Linked DNA regions of Callithrix jacchus. The protein of the gene in region 2 interacts with the protein of the main gene of each other region in a pairwise test. Links are inferred from orthologs where the notes say so. Each region holds a gene or a part of one and is shown on either strand. Other genes may lie near its edges. The genes, in order: GDPD5, KRTAP26-1, MGAT5B, CCNJL and GRN.

Region 1 (3,522 bases), on a different chromosome or scaffold from region 2:
CAGTACAGGAGGGAAGCCCAGTAGCCACTACTCTGCACATGGCTGCTAGCACCTAGGGTGCCGTCCTAAACTGGCTTCAGATTTCTGTGGCCCCAAATTATTACACCACATGATAGGACAACCCTTCACTGAAGTAACTTGACAGCTTGGACCTTTATAAATTTTAAAGTGTTTTCTTGTTCCCCTCTTGTCCCACGATGACCCTGGCAGGGAGGCGAGGGGTGCGTGATCCCCACTTTACAGATGTGAAAGCTGAAGTCCGGAGGGCAGCAGGGAGAGGTTAGGCAGCAGCAGGGCTCCAGCCAGGCCAGGGCTCCCAGGGCAGAGCAGTGCTGGAAGGCCTCACCTGGTGCTGGGGGAAGCCAGAGCGCAGCACGGCCTCCAGAGTGATGTTGAGGAAGCTGCTGCGGTAGGGGTGCTCACGGGGCGGGTCGCGCAGGTTGAGCAGCAGTGTGGCGTTGCCTTTGGCCAGCTCCAGGAGCTCTGCCAGGCTGCAGATGGACTGGTTCTGGGCCTCTCTGTAGTCGGAGGGTGACAGAGAGCTGGCCGTCCAGAAGGGGTCAGTCTGGCAGGGACAGGGACACACACATGGCTGCATCACGAGCCCTTTGGGGACCCCCACATGCCCTTCTGGCAACCAAGCATGGAGACCTCTGGGCTACCAGTTGGCTGGGGTCAGGCAGATTGATGGCTGTGGCCATGTGGAGGCTGCAGGAGGCCCCAGCCCTAACCTTCCTACCCCACACCCTGCTTACCAAGAGGATGGCTTGCTTGGAATAGCTGCCACACCCCACAGCATTTCTCCTTCTGGAGCATTTCACACCAGGCAGCCAACCCCTCTCCAGAGTTTTACAGAGTTAATGCTATTCACTGCTCTCATTCATGTCAACTTTTTCTAGTGAGGGAAACAGACCCAGAACATGCAGTGACAACCACGAGATATGGCAGCAGTGGCAGGAGCCCAGGAGGCCACCAATGCCTCTCACTCCCTGGAGTCCTTGCTGGTATTTTCCAAGCCTAAGCCTGGGATCAGGTGCAGCCAGACCTTCAGGAACCACTGGCCAGCGTTGAGCCTCTGCAGGGTGGTCCAGTTGAGCATGGAGGCAGGCCTGCGGGCGAGCTCCGGGAACTCCTCCTCCACGTTGGTGGTGCGCCGCAGGGTGGCATCGTGCATGAGGAAGGGCACGCCGTCCAGGCTACAGGGAGGGTGGGCCGCTGAGTCACTGACCCCCCCATCCCTCACCTGCCCACCAATGACTGTCACCTCCACAGTCCTCCCCACCCAGCACAGGATCTGGCTGGCTCTGCCCCTCTCTGGGCCTCAGTCTCCCCATCTGCACAGGAAAGACAGTGGGCTGGTGGATGAACCTGAAGGCCTTCTGGCTCTCTTTGAGGGTCAGATGAGGGTGGGGACTGCCAAGAAGGGCGGGCTGAGAAAAAGCTGGACCTACTTTCTTAGCAACCTTGGAAGGTAGGTGCTGCCTCATTTGATAATGAAGAAACTGAGGGTAAGAGAGGGAAGTATCTAGCTCAAGGTCCACAGCCTGTACGTGGTGGAACCGGCTTTGAGACCAAATCCCTGTGATGCTATGATGAGAGCAGTGCAAATGTAGACCTCTTTAGCAAACTTCACCCAACCCCAGTCCTTGTCTGCTCTACCAGGGCCGCCAATAGCTCATAGGGTGCCTTAGTGTGAAACAGTAGAAGGCACCCATGCCCTCTGTTCCTCAAGGCATTTTACCACCGTCTGCTAGAAAGTTACAATAAATACACAATTCTATATCTATACTAGGAACAATGTCCTCATATATGTGATGTCCTTGTTCAGTACATAACCTGTGCAACTATATATGGCAGTCCTGCCCTTCTTCCCTTTTCAGATAACTTCTGTTATGAGATTGGTATGGATTCTTTCTGCCATTTATACTAATATCTACTTATATACGTGCATGGAGAAAGTATATACGTCACTTTTTTGTGGTCTTTTAAAATGTAACTGGAATTACAGTGAATGTATCACTCTGAAACTTGCTTTATTTCACTCATGAGAGTGTTAGAGTTCTGTCATGCAGAGCCATAGAGATCTAGTTTTCCCTTCAAGCTGCTCTGTGGCAGGGCTCCAGGTCCTCACCCCCACCCCTGCTTGCACCAAGAGCATTTGTTCTTTATTCTATTTTACACCAGCAGGGTGACTGCCCTGCTGTGGATAATCTAAGCCTCTATCCTCCCATCTCAGAGGCTCTGAGACCAGAGGTTTCCCTAGCAGAGACCCAGGTAGATGCAGATGTGTGTGGGAGGGGTTAGAGGAGCTATTTTTCCTCCGCTACACCTACCTGATGGTAATGTCAGCCTGGAGCCCATACAGCTTCTGCTCAAGGGCCTTCCGGAAGGACATGAGAGTGTGCTCTGGAGCCAGCTGGGGAGGAAGGGGTGGTGAAGGGAGAGCCAAGAGTCAGCTGATGTACCCTCCCCAGCCAATGGAAAGTCTTCCATGTTGGGAGGCTGGGTCAGGCATGGTTCTAATTCTTTTTTTTTTTTTTTGAGACGGAGTTTTGCTCATTACCCAGGCTGGAGTGCAATAGCGTGACCTCGGCTCAATGCAACCTCTGCCTCCTGGGTTCAGGCAATTCTCCTGCCTCAGCCTCCTGAGTAGCTGGGATTACAGGCTTGCGCCACCGTGCCCAGCTAATTTTTTGTATTTTTTTAGTAGAGACAGGGTTTCACCATCTTGACCAGGATGGTCTCTGTTGACCTCGTGATCCACCCGCCTCGGCCTCCCAAATGCTGGGATTTTCTAATTCTTGTTCCTCCATGGTGTAGCTGTGTGACCCTGGGCATCCACTACACTTCTCTGAAGTTCAGCTTCCTCATCTGTTAAATCATGCCTACCTCACTGGTTTCACTGCAGGGGAGCGGAGGCAGGGCTGGTGAGTGTTGATGCATTTAAATGCCTGACATGTAGCTAGCACTTGATACCTGGTAGCTATGGTCACTGCGTTTTCACTGCTGTATCCCAGCCACTGAGCTAGACACTGGGGCTGGAGGGCTTTTTTACAGTCCTCTGTGGCAATCTGGCAGTCTTGGGCTGGGGCTGAAAGTAAAATTCCCTCTTGGCTATACCCTGAGCCAAGTCCAGGGGGAGAAATGGAAGAAGAGCGGGTGGATGGGATGGTAGAGTTTCAGTGGGGACCCAGTTTCCTCATCTGTACAAATATGACAGTACCATTTCCTTCACTGGACTGCTAAGTGAATGAAAAGCCTCTAGCACCCTGCCTGATAGATATAGTAAGTGCTTGATAAATGGTAACTGTTTTGCCCTTACATCATCCTGGTTCTAGCATTTTTTTGTTTTATTTCTTTATTTCTTCTGTTTGTTTTTTTTAAATAAAATTGCACTTTTTAGGTACAGGTTCTAGCATTTTTTTGAGAGACAGGGTCTTGCTGTCACCCAGGCTGGAGTGCAGTGACACAATCACAGCTCACAACAGTCTCAAACTTCTGGGCTCCAGCTATCTTCCCACC
Region 2 (2,616 bases):
AGCATATGTTTGGGGACCTTTGTGTAAGTCAGGCTTGCAGGATCTTAGTTTTATTATTTGCAGTACTGATCAAAATAGGATGAAGCCAGAGAGGGAGGAGGGAGAAAGACAGTGAGGGAAACCAGCTTTGCTACTAAGGTGTTTGAATATTTATCTTATGGAGATAGATTATAGGAAGCCAGCAAAGGCTTAAGCAGAAACCTGGTCAGGTTTTCAATTAGAAAGAACATTCTGGTGAAAGCATATTCAGTGGAATAGAGAAATAAGAGGCATCATTCCTAATTTTTCCTCTTCAAAGCAACTTTCACCAAGGACTTTTTGGGTCTCTCAAGTACATAGGGTCAGAAGTCTAAAAGCAGCTTAAGGAATAAACCATCAAGCAATCCTTCCACTGTCAGGTACAAATATATGGTTGAGAATCATTTGTCCAATTCACTCATCTTGCAAACAATTGACATTGGTCATTTCTGTGTTAAAATTAAGTCATGAAAGAAAAACCACTGAACAAGATTCCTAATTCGGACTTAATCGCATTTATTATAGCGTAAATCAAATACATTCTTCCCACACCACAGCAACGCTGAATAGCATTGTAAGCCAATTCTTTTGATGTCAAGGAAAGATGAAAACAAGATAAAACATGTAAGAGAAGCAGGTTGCATTAGATCACAGACAGTAAAAGTAAGAAACATCAGTTACTACTAGCGAAGAAGCAAAAGTCCCCAGATTTTTCTAGAACAAAGAAGCTACTGGTTTCACAGTGCAGAGCAAGATGGATGACAAGTGCTGACCACATGGCTCAGAGGTTGGCAACCACTGAACAGAGGCCCCAGAGGTCTGAGGCTGCTGGACACAACATGAAGGGTTTGAGGACCATAGGCCAAGCAACCGGAGGGTCGGCATCCAGAAGTGAGGAGGTTTGGGGGCTGGCAGCTATTGGCAAAAGAGGACTGGGGACGATAGCCACCAGGCACACAGCTTCCTGTGGGCTGGTAACTATTGATCAGTGGCCTCAGTGGACGACAGCTGCTGGACACGTAGCTCTGCGGTCTATAGGATACTGGAAGGCAGGAGCTGGAGATGAAAGAAGCAGGAAGAAAACTGGTTCCTTGGCAGGATCTGGGCACGTAGTAAGCAGTGGAAGAACAGCGAGAGGTTTCAAGGTTGCCGGTCTCACAGTGGGCTGGCTGGCAGCTGGCTGGTTCACCGCAGGTCTCTTGGCAGTTGTCTGTGAGCCAGGTATGGTCTTGACAGCTAGTGGGTAAGCAGAGGACATCTCCACAACTCACATTGGTAGGGCAGAGGGCGATGGAGGTAAGAGGAATATGGCAGGAGGTTCTGAGAGATCCTGAGCTGGAGTTTCCAGAGCAGTAGTTTTGGCAAGACATAGTGAGGTTGTGAGAAGAGGCTGCGGTTGACGGAGAGAAGCAAGTGTCTCGAGCTTGTTCTGCCCTTCGTTGACTTGACCCTTTATATATCCCCAGAAGATGGTGCTTCTGCATACAGACTCTTCCTCTTGTTGTACGAGGCTACATCGGAACTCTTTATTATAGCCAAGGAAGTGACGCTCCCACCTCCCATAAAACCGGAACGCTCCTTGCAATGCCATCCATTGATTAAGTATATCTATAAACCAGCGCGACTGCATTTTACTAGTATCTATCCTTCTTAAATTATCCAAACACAACAGACATGTTTTAAAAGCTATGTACTTACTCTAATTAGAACCACCATGGCACAAACATTCTTAAGATTCCTCTCTTCGAAAGTTGTAGCAACTTCTTTGAAACAGTGACAACTTATATCTTTCTGAAGGGAAATTCTATTCTTCTTGGAAGTTGCTGAAAGTAACTTCGAAGCAAATGTAAGGGAAACTGAAAATCCTTGTGAACTATATGGCAGAAATATGGACAATTTCAATATGTGTTGCTCAATTATAATTTATTTTTCAAAGTGTGATTTGCTTTATTTCAGAACTCTACTCCGACTTGACTTTCTACGAAAATATCTTTATTTTAAAATGCGTGCTCATCTTACTCACTTCAATTAATAAATAGATGAGTCCAGCTGAAAACTTGGCTTATGTTTAAGGTATGCATGAATACAGATAACGAAGTTGGACTTAGTTAAAATGATGTATCCTACTGTGAACAAAAGCAAACAGACCCTTTAAAGAAAGTCGGACAACTTGATATTTTTCATGATTTTTACAAGCCTAGGTATTGTATGGTAACTCATATTCCAACTGAAAAAATATTGTTCTTGGTTAAAAAAATACATTGATTATGACATGAATTTCTTTTGCTTCCTATATTGGTCTTGATGTCAATTTCCAAAAAGGAACTTCTAAACTGCTTTACATAGGGAATAGCACCAGGATGAAGTATACTTTTCCTAAGTTTGAATACTTAAAGGCCATTTGAGAATATGTATTTCTGGTTAAATTTGTTTTAAAAATGTATGATTACAGTTAGTTTCAACTGTCCCTCTACATTATTCACATACTGACATACCCAGTGGCTCCAGTAGCTATTTTAATGGGATTTTAAATTACCTGCTGGCTCTAAGTTCCAATTCCTTTTGGCTAAATAGTCAATTTAAATCATAACACTTTCT
Region 3 (3,290 bases), on a different chromosome or scaffold from region 2:
TTGAACTCTCTGTGCCTCTCGATGTAAAATGGAAAGATTCATATAATAGTACTTACCTGCTAGGGCAGCTGAGTGCATGAAATGACTACTGAAGCAAGCGACAAACTCAGCCCAGTGCCCGAGGTGGTAAACACTGGCTCATTTTCTCATTATCTGGCTCAGGCTCTTATCAAAATGGATTTGTGTTCCCTGACCCCACACTGCCACTGTCACAGCCAGCTGGAGGCGGGCAGAGACCAGCCCAACGTGGACATGACTGAGTATGCCACTGCTTGTCAGGGTGCCTGCAGTCACAGCTTGGGAACAGCCAGGAGATGACCCTGGGTCTCTGCCACCAGCAGGGACTTCTTTTGGGTGGCTTGAAGTAGACAGCACCCAGCTCTGCAGACCTGAGCACCCCGTGTGCCCCACATGACATGGAGCAGAACCTGGAGACATCAGCTATCTGCCCCTCCACCCTGGGTGAGCTCTGGATGCCGCAGGAAAAGAGAACCAGCATAGTTCCTCTTCTGCATCTCACATCCCAATAAAATATTTATTATTTCAAGAAATAAATCTTTAAAAAAAGAGAAAAAAAGAGTGTCTCTATTGCTTTCCCCCACAGGTCAGTCCTTGGGAACCAATGAGTTTCTTGCCATCGTGGTTTCTGCGGCTGCAGGGGCCAGCCAGGTCTGGAGGGGACTCCTGTGGGAAGTGTCCAGCCTGGCCCCTCCACCAACTCTCAGCGTCCTGGGGCTGCCTCCTGGGAAGGGTGGAGGAGCAGGCCTAGGTTGGTGGGTGGGGTTGCTGGGAGAGGGAGCAGGATTATAAAACTGGGTGGTGGCAGTGTTCTGAAGGCCTGACCCGCTGAGGCAGTCGGGGCTCTGGGCGGGGGGAGAGGGGAAGGGGGCGTCCTGTGGCAGGCATGCCACTCAGGGAAGGACGGCTGGATCTCAAGGCGGTTTGAGGCTGGAGGTAGGGACAAGGACTTGACATGGGTGGGGTTGAGGGCTGCCTGGGTAAGTGGACAGGGCAACTGGAAACTAGGCATGGAGTGCCATGGGGCTGAGGCTCCATCCCAAGCCCCTGTCTGCAAAAGATGCTGGGGGGTAAGGAGTCAGTATCTGTGGGAGTGCCTGGTGCACAAAGGCCACCCCCGGGCAGGGGTCCCAGAGCCTGTTCTCTGAGCCTGGGGTGGAAACCTCCCCTTGGAGGGGGCAGGGCTTGAGGCTTTGGAACAAATCCACCATCTGGAGTGGCAGGTCATGCCAGGATGGGTTTTGGGAGAAGCCCGGAGTGAAAAGGGTTGGAACAAGCAGGAGAAAGAAACAACTCAACCAGGGCCTAGGTGGTCCCTGCAGCCCAAACTGTGGTCCCCAAGTGTAGCGGGAAGGTGGTGGGATCGGGAAACCGAGAGGAAAGGGGCTAAGGGGAGGCACGAACAGGGCCCCTTGGCTTAGCCTTCCACCCACCCTCTGCCCCTGCATCCACAACCCAAATGCCAGCGGGCCCTGTGTTCCTGGCTCCCCTCACAGGAGGAGGGTAAGCCCCCAATTCCCCTGCCGGGAGCAGGTACCATCCAGGCCCATGGGGAGGGGCCCTCCTTGAACCCTTCAGGGACCATGGGGCAGCCTGGTCCCTGCTACCCTCTCTTGCAGGTCTAGAAGCCCCATCCTGGGCCCAAGAATGACTGGCCCCCTTCATCTGGCCCAGATCCAGCCTTGCACAAAGCAAGGGGCCTTGACCACCTGCTCCTGGGCCCTGCAGACTCTCCGAGCAGCCCGACATCTGCTTGGCCTTGATGCTGCCATGAATTCCCAGGAGAGAACCAGGAGCCTGCCTGGGAGGTCCCAGGGGCTCGGTGTGCCGCCGCCTCCTATTCCTCTGCACGGCTCTCCTCTGGACACTTCCAGGCGAAGGAAGTAAGCTCCAGCCTGGGGGAGCTGCGAGGAGGACAAGCAGCCGGAGCCCAGGACCTGCTGGTACTCTCTCCTGTGTCAGGGGAGAGCCAGCCGTGGGTGCCAGGCAGGGCGGCAGAGGTGGCCTCACAGACAGCCCTGGCACAAGGCCACCTGGCCTTTGCGGAAGTCACGGCAGGGGCAGAGCCGGCGGTACTTGGTGTTGGAGCCGGCACAGCTGAAGAGCAGGGGCTCCTTCTGCAGATAGCACTCCTGGCCAGGCTGGGCGAAGGCCGGGTACAGGTGGTTCATCTCCGACTCGGTGCTGTCACAGGGCACCTGCAATCTGGCATGCATAGCACCATCACTCAGCATTGGTTGCTTGGGCTGAAGGGCTGGGCCAGGGTAGGGGTTCCCCACAGCCCAGCACTGCCTGCTCCCCTTCTCTGGCCCATCCCCATCCCAGAATGGATAAGGAAATGTGTTACAGCTCCCTACTGTTACACCCAGGACAGCTTTCATGGTTTGGGCTAGACAACGCCCAAACAGGCTGGGTAGGGGGCTGAGTGGGTGAAGGAGAGCAGGGACTGAAAGGAGCCTCTCCTCTAGTTTAAGGCTTGGCCAAGAGTGGGGCAGCAGTGACCTGGATGTTGGCCTGGAGGGTCCCTTCTGGGTCCTTCCTGACTCGTTGGAAAGCATTAAATCCCCCACCGCTGAAAGGGCTGAGGGCCAGTTCTGGGTATGAGAGCTCATGGTGAGCCTGCTGGGCCAGCAAGGATGGGGGCTGGGGGGTGGGGGCCCATACTCACTTGAGGAAGGCGTCCTGGCTGTTGAGGAAGGGGAAGAAGGAGGGCTCGCAGATCAGCCCGTGGTCCAGGCAGGTGTCGGTGCACGCCCTCCCAGGCACAGCCAGCCAGGCCCGCAGGGAGTTCACGGGGGGCCAGGCCCCCAGGGTCAAGCTGGCATTCTGAGCCCATTCGAGGTGGGTGGCATTTGGGGCCAGGACAAAAGGGCTCTGCGGGGCATGGGCCCCTGGTTGGGCAGGGCCTGGAGATGTGCAGAAGTCCTGCAAGGAGGGGGGAGCAGCGTTAGGTAGGGAAATGCCAGCCAGGTACACCCGGGGGACACCTGAAGGTGTGGCCCTGCCAGTACAAGCCACAGTACCAGCCACCACTAATGGGCACTTACTGAATACCAGGTAGCTTTACCTGCATTATTTTATTGACTTCCAATGGACACTTGTGTCTCCAGGTCACTTACAGGGAGAATGGAAGCTGAGAGGTCACGGCGCCTGCCCAAGGCTTTGGGGTTGGACAACAGAACAGGACTTGGATTCAGGGCTCTCTGCATCCTGTCTGCCCTGGAGCTGTCCTGATGCTCAAGTCAAGCTCTGGTTTCTACCCTGGGGCCTGC
Region 4 (3,522 bases), on a different chromosome or scaffold from region 2:
GGCAGGCCTCAAGGCAAGAGGAACTTCACTATTTCAGCCTAGAATAGTGTTTTCAAAATCACTATTTCAGAAACACGGGATTCAGGGGAGAAACTTACACCAGCAGAATTTCAATACACGTGCTGAGGTGTTCCAGGGAGTAGCTTGAGATCCTCTGCAGGTCTCTGGTCCAATAGGGAGAAAGCTGCAGGCAAATCCTGGAGGCCCCAACACAGGCTGCAGCGACCACAGAAGGCTGGAATTTGTAGAATATGTGATCTGAAAGAAAGCCATGGAGGGAGTCAGCATCCAAAGCCTCCCCTTGCAATCCCAGGCCCACCCTGAGAATGGATGGACAAATGAATCATTTGCAAGCCTGTTAATCACTGCCCTACAAATAGGATGGAAAATTAGAAACTGTGAAGTTCCATTTTTGAATCTTAACCTTGGCTCTCAATCTGGGATTTCTCTTTTGTTGAGACAGGTTCTCTCACTCTGTCGCCCAGGCTGGAGTGCACTGGGTCAATCGTGGCTCATCGCAGTCTCAACTTTTCGGGACCAAGAGATCCTACTACTTCGGCCTCTCGAGTAGCCGGGACTACAAGTGTGCACGACGAAACCTGGCCAATTTTTGTACTTTTTTGAAAGATAGAGTTTTAGCATGTAGCCCAGGCTGGTCTTGAACTCCTGAGCTCAAGCAATCCTCCCGCCTCAGCCTCCCAAAGTGCTGGGATTATAGGTGTGAGTCACTATGCTCAGACCAGTCTGGTATTTCTGATAGCAGCCTAGAACAGTGTTTTCAAAATATTGTCCATGGCTCCCAGGGGGCAGCAAGGAGCTCGCCAATGTTCTACAAACAGAACTGCAAAACATTTGGCCTTTCTTTGGTTATGTGAGTGTATGACATACAATTTCAAAGGCTTCCGTTTCGGGGTATGACTAGAGGAAGCTATTTATTAGTTGTAACAATGTCTGGCCCACAGTACTCAGTGAAAATGTACTGAATGAATGGCTGTAAGAGTTTGATATTTATAACTAAAACCGGCACTTAGGTTGACTGAGGAATCTTAATGTCCAACTAAGATATCTGGCCACATGGCAAAGCTGGTACTATTGATGTGCAAAGGCAAACAGTTGAAATTTCTGTAGTTTTCCTGAATGCCACTGGGTTTTCAGTTTATTACTATGTTGTCTTAAATTGTTCATGATTTTCACTGGGCGTGGTGGCTCACGCCTGTGAGCACTTTGGGAGGTCAAGGCGGGCAGAACACGAGGTCAGGAATTTGAGGCCAGCCTGGCCAACATGGTGAAACCCCATCTCTACTAAAGATACAGAAAATTGGCCAGGCATGGTGGCACGTGCCTGTAATCTTAGCTACTTGGGAGGCTGAGGCAGAAGAATCACTTGAACCCGGGAGGCAGAGGTTGCAGTGAGCCAAGATCGCGCTATTGCACTCCAGCTTGGGTGACAGGGTGAGACGCCATCTTAAAAAAAAAAAAAAAAAGGAACCATGATCCCAAGCATTAACTGGGCATTACTGCATGCCAGGTATCTTGCTTCAGTGATTTGCATACATTATCTCATTTGAACCTCACAGCAACCCTATACCAACACCACCTCCATTAATCATATTTTACAAAAGAGGAAACTGATGCTGTAACTTACCCAAAGTCATTGCCAGGATTAAAAAAAAATGTTTTTTGAGACGGGCTCTCACCGCATTGCTCAGGCTAGTCTCAAACTCCTGGGATTAAGGCGAGAGCTTCCATGCCCTACTCATTGGTAGGATTTGAAGCTGGGGAGTCCGACCAGTCACTGATTGGTCAGCCCAATCATCGATCTTGATACTCATGCCCAAACATTTTAGTCTGTGGTAGGTTATGGGATGGTTGTTATGAGTAGTATTTTTTTTTTTTCCCGAAACAAAGTGTCGCTCTGACTGCAGGCTGGAGTGCAGTGGTACAATCTTGGTTCACTGCAATCTCGGCATCCCGGGTTCAAGCGATTCCCCTGCCTCAGCCTGCTGAGTAATTGGGACTACACGTACGCACCATCATGCCCAGCTAATTTTTTGTATTTTAGTAGAGACAGGGTTTCACCATGTCGGCCAAGATGGTCTCAATCTTCTGACCTCATGACCCTCCCACCTTTGCCTCCCAAAGTGTTGGGATTACAGGAGTGAGCCACACATCTGGCCCTATCAGCAGTATTTTTGACCCAGTTAACATCTAGATTTTAAAACACTGGGAAGAGTGAGTTTCAAGTAAGACTCTCCAAACAGGGTAACTTTTATTGCTAAAGCAGATGGAAACCTAATTCCCTCTCCCCATACTATCTGTATGACGGCAGCTGTTTGAGAATAACCGACCTGCAAATCTGTGCTATTTAAATCATTTGCAATGTTCTAGGTTACTGTAAGAAAAAGGTGATCTGTAAGTTTCTAGGTTTCCGGCTGCCTGTATATAAGCAGGTATTTCTCTTTTATATGTTACTGGTAACACACTGGGCAAATTTTTGCCCTTTCTTTGCTTATTCCCTGCAAAGTAAGACTGATATGGGTGGTGCACAGGCCCCAGTGAGAAGGCCTTATCTGGATGGACATGCCCTTGAGAGCCACCTAACCCTGACCCCTGGGTGGGTGGGGAGGGGGTAGGAGGTCCTGCTCTTGGGCCCCAGCCATCACCTTGCAGGGTGACCTCTAGGAAGTAATGGGCATACTCCTTGAGGCACTCTTTGGTCTTGCGAGGGCAGGTGGTGGGCCAGGTGTGGCAGTGGTGGTCCTTCTGGCTGACAGAGGCCAAGAGGTAGTAGTCCAGGAAGTGGGCAGGTGTGGGCAGGCAGAGGTTCCAGCTGAAGGCCTCCAGGAGCAGCAGCTCTGTGCTCAGCAGCTCCTTCTTGGTGAGGGCGAAGTTCTGGCTGCTCAGGATCCTCGTGCTGTTTATCTGCTCCAACTTGGGGACGTGGTCTTCCCGATCCTCGAACTTACCTGTGGGGAAGCAGGGGAAGCAGAGGTTACTGGAAGACATTTACCTGCATTCAGGAAGCTAACAGCCCACCTTACAGTGCCTGGACAGTGCTGGCAGAGAAAACAGAAAGCAGACAGGCCGGACTGCAAAGGGATAAGAGCACACATTCCAGATTTGTCAAACCTAGGCTTGAATCTCTAAGCCATCACTTCCCGCTGTGGGATCATGACTAGGTGTCTCAACCTCTCTGTGACTCAGCTTCCTTATCTGTAAGATGGAACCTATACTTCATTAGGCTTTTGTTAGATTCAATGGGAAAATGCACACCAAATGCTCAAACCAACCACTGGAACAGAGGAGGCAGGAGACAGTGGTCAGGAGCAGCATCCAGGGGCTGGGGAATATAGTCCCCTCCCTACTCCCCAACCGGCCCTCACTAATCCAACCTCCTGCCTAGAGTCAGCATGACTGCACAAACCTGGCTCTGTCCCTCCACATATAGAAAAAGCCCTTCTATGGCTTCCCACTATCCTTGGTATTGAGTTCAAACTGTGTAAATGGGGTCTTAGTTTGGGT
Region 5 (2,203 bases), on a different chromosome or scaffold from region 2:
GGCCCAGGGGCCTCGGAGCCGTTCCGTGGTAGGTGCCGGGTTGTGTCTTACAAGGGACCCTGTGTCTGCCTCCAAGCCGGGGAGGAGGGGGGTCCAGCCCTCATGGGGAGGTGCCGGGGAGGAGGGCTGGGGGGAAGCAGTGCCTGTGTAGTGTGGCTGTATATAGAAAGCTCTATTGTGGGAAAGCAGGAGGGGTGACCCAGCCTCAGCTGCTAGTGTGAGGGCTGGGAAGGGCGGGGGCGTTCTCTATGGCCCCCTGGGAGGGGTTGGGAGTGCTGCTTGCTGACTAGCCCACCTCTGGGCTACGATGTCACAGGGCTGGTGGCTGGGGCAGCTCTGGGGACTAGGGGGTAATGTGATGACGGCGGCTGTGGGCAGCAGCAAATATAAACTGGTGAGGTTAAGGCCGTGTGTGTCTTTCTGTGGGGAAGGGGAGGGGAGTGCTGGCAGTGGAGCGAACTCTGGCTCTGGGGCCCTGGGGAATGCAGGCAAGGCGGCAAATCAGACGCTGTTAAGAAAGTGTACAAACTTTATTGGAACGCGCACGCGCACACGCACACACACACCCCTGTGAATAGGGAAAAGCACCTGGCCACAGGGTCTACAGAAACGGGGAGGAGATGGCAGCTTGTAATGTGGCTTTTGCCACAACCCCCTTCTGACAGGCAAGGCCTTAGATTGAGGCCCCACCTTCCATGGTGATGGGGAGCTTAGAATGGGGGCCAGGGAGAATTTGGTTGGGGAGAGGTGCTAGGGAGGCCTGAGCAGAGGGCACCCTCCAAGTGGGGTCCTGAGGGCTGCAGAGTCTTCAGTCCTGTCCCTCACAGCAGCTGTCTCAAGGCTGGGTCCCTCAAAGGGGTGTCCCAGTGCAGGGTTTCCCTGCGCAAACACTTGGTGCCCTTGGCTGAGCAATGGAAGCCGGCAGGACAGCAGTGGCGCTGATCGGCACAACAGACACCCTGGATGGTCAGAGTGGAACAAGAGGGTTGGACATGGCGGGACTGGGTCCCTGGCCATACCGAGCCCCAGGGTGGGGGGTGTCACTGACCTGGCGGTAGGGACAGCAGGCCCAGCCCCCTTGGCTGTCTCGGCAGCAGGTCTGGTCATCATGGCAGAAGTGCCCTGCCCCACATTCCACGTCCCTCATGCCCACATGAGGGCCACGGGCCAGGAAGGTGGCAGGCTGGGCAGAGACCACTTCCTTCTCGCAGGATCGGGCCTTCACGTTGCAGGTATAGCCAGCTGGGCAGCAGTGCTGGCGATCCTCACAGCACACAGCCTGGTGGGGAGAGGGTGCAGAATGGCATTATGTTCCTGTCCCCTCGCCGGGCTTAGCTCCCTTATCCAGGGGAAGGCAGGGAGGCACTCACATGGGGCAGCTGGCAGCAGGCCCAGCCCCCGCCCAGGCTCGGGCAGCAGGTCTGTCCAACTGGACAGCTGGTGTGCTGGTCGCAGCCGATGTCTCTGGGGTGGGATCCGGAAGCCCGGCGGGCAGGCATCTTCTCCAGCCCAGCCACGATCTTGGGTCCCCGATGACACTGCCCCTCAACGACACACGTGTAGCCCTGGGGGCAGCAGTGCTGGTGGTCCGAGCAGCAGACAGCCTGGGGGTGGGCAGAAAAGGCCATTCTAGGTAGCCACATGTGGGGCACAGCGTCGAGCCCCTACCTCTCCAGCCCGCCTTTGCTGCTTATAGCATCTCCAGCTGGGGATGAATCTGACAGAGCTGAGTGCCACCTATGGGTGAAGCAGAGGGCAGAAAGCAAGAGGAGTCTGGCCACCACCTTCCCAGGCCAAGGTGCTGTCCTCTCCCATGTACCTCTGGGGCTGAACAGCAGCCCCACTCCCCAGACATGAGTTGGCAGCAGGTATTGGAGGGGGGACAGCTTGTGACGTTATCACAGGGGACGTCTCTCTTCAAGGCTTGCGGGTCCAGCAGGCTGAGGTGAGCTGGGGCCTTCTCCATCCAGGGTACCTGGTGGGTCCCCTGTTCACAGGTACCCTTCTGTGTGTCACACGTAAACCCTGAGGGGCAGCAGTGTATGTGGTCCTCACAGCACACAGCCTATGGCAGACAGGAAGGGCCAGTGGGCACTGGGGTCCAGCTGGCTGCCACAGTGCTCAGTCCACCCACCCACCACCCCTGAGTACCTGTGTAAAAGGGCAGCAGCCCCAGGCCCCCGACTGTAGGCGGCAGCAGGTG

Evidence for each region.
Region 1: the proteins of KRTAP26-1 (region 2) and GDPD5 interact in a two-hybrid assay, tested with the Homo sapiens proteins (2 studies listed by BioGRID and IntAct). The two-hybrid records come from large-scale screens. The link is inferred for Callithrix jacchus from reciprocal best matches to the Homo sapiens genes KRTAP26-1 and GDPD5.
Region 3: the proteins of KRTAP26-1 (region 2) and MGAT5B interact in a two-hybrid assay, tested with the Homo sapiens proteins (3 studies listed by BioGRID and IntAct). The two-hybrid records come from large-scale screens. The link is inferred for Callithrix jacchus from reciprocal best matches to the Homo sapiens genes KRTAP26-1 and MGAT5B.
Region 4: the proteins of KRTAP26-1 (region 2) and CCNJL interact in binary tests that used the Homo sapiens proteins (3 or more experiments, as listed by UniProt). The two-hybrid records come from large-scale screens. The link is inferred for Callithrix jacchus from reciprocal best matches to the Homo sapiens genes KRTAP26-1 and CCNJL.
Region 5: the proteins of KRTAP26-1 (region 2) and GRN interact in binary tests that used the Homo sapiens proteins (3 or more experiments, as listed by UniProt). The two-hybrid records come from large-scale screens. The link is inferred for Callithrix jacchus from reciprocal best matches to the Homo sapiens genes KRTAP26-1 and GRN.

Annotation. Positions count from the first base shown.
Region 1 is NC_133511.1:65,510,716-65,514,237, reverse strand, and holds part of GDPD5 (glycerophosphodiester phosphodiesterase domain-containing protein 5), read right to left. Parts: exon of another isoform or gene 2,417-3,522; coding exon 2,334-2,416; exon of another isoform or gene 1,197-2,333; coding exon 1,046-1,196; exon of another isoform or gene 900-1,045; intron 566-899; coding exon 347-565; intron 1-346. UniProt on the Homo sapiens protein: Glycerophosphodiester phosphodiesterase that promotes neurite formation and drives spinal motor neuron differentiation.
Region 2 is NC_133522.1:36,367,950-36,370,565, forward strand, and holds KRTAP26-1 (keratin-associated protein 26-1), read right to left. Parts: upstream 1,449-2,616; 5' UTR 1,389-1,448; coding exon 756-1,388; 3' UTR 518-755; downstream 1-517. UniProt on the Homo sapiens protein: In the hair cortex, hair keratin intermediate filaments are embedded in an interfilamentous matrix, consisting of hair keratin-associated proteins (KRTAP), which are essential for the formation of a rigid and resistant hair shaft through their extensive disulfide bond cross-linking with abundant cysteine residues of hair keratins.
Region 3 is NC_133506.1:132,799,344-132,802,633, reverse strand, and holds the end of MGAT5B (alpha-1,6-mannosylglycoprotein 6-beta-N-acetylglucosaminyltransferase B), read right to left. Parts: intron 2,944-3,290; coding exon 2,687-2,943; intron 2,224-2,686; coding exon 2,025-2,223; 3' UTR 511-2,024; downstream 1-510. UniProt on the Homo sapiens protein: Glycosyltransferase that acts on alpha-linked mannose of N-glycans and O-mannosyl glycans.
Region 4 is NC_133503.1:23,071,840-23,075,361, forward strand, and holds part of CCNJL (cyclin-J-like protein), read right to left. Parts: intron 2,967-3,522; coding exon 2,664-2,966; intron 259-2,663; coding exon 99-258; intron 1-98.
Region 5 is NC_133506.1:71,192,550-71,194,752, reverse strand, and holds the end of GRN (progranulin), read right to left. Parts: coding exon 2,152-2,203; intron 2,066-2,151; coding exon 1,820-2,065; intron 1,605-1,819; coding exon 1,371-1,604; intron 1,280-1,370; coding exon 1,049-1,279; intron 960-1,048; coding exon 822-959; 3' UTR 512-821; downstream 1-511. UniProt on the Homo sapiens protein: Secreted protein that acts as a key regulator of lysosomal function and as a growth factor involved in inflammation, wound healing and cell proliferation. Regulates protein trafficking to lysosomes, and also the activity of lysosomal enzymes.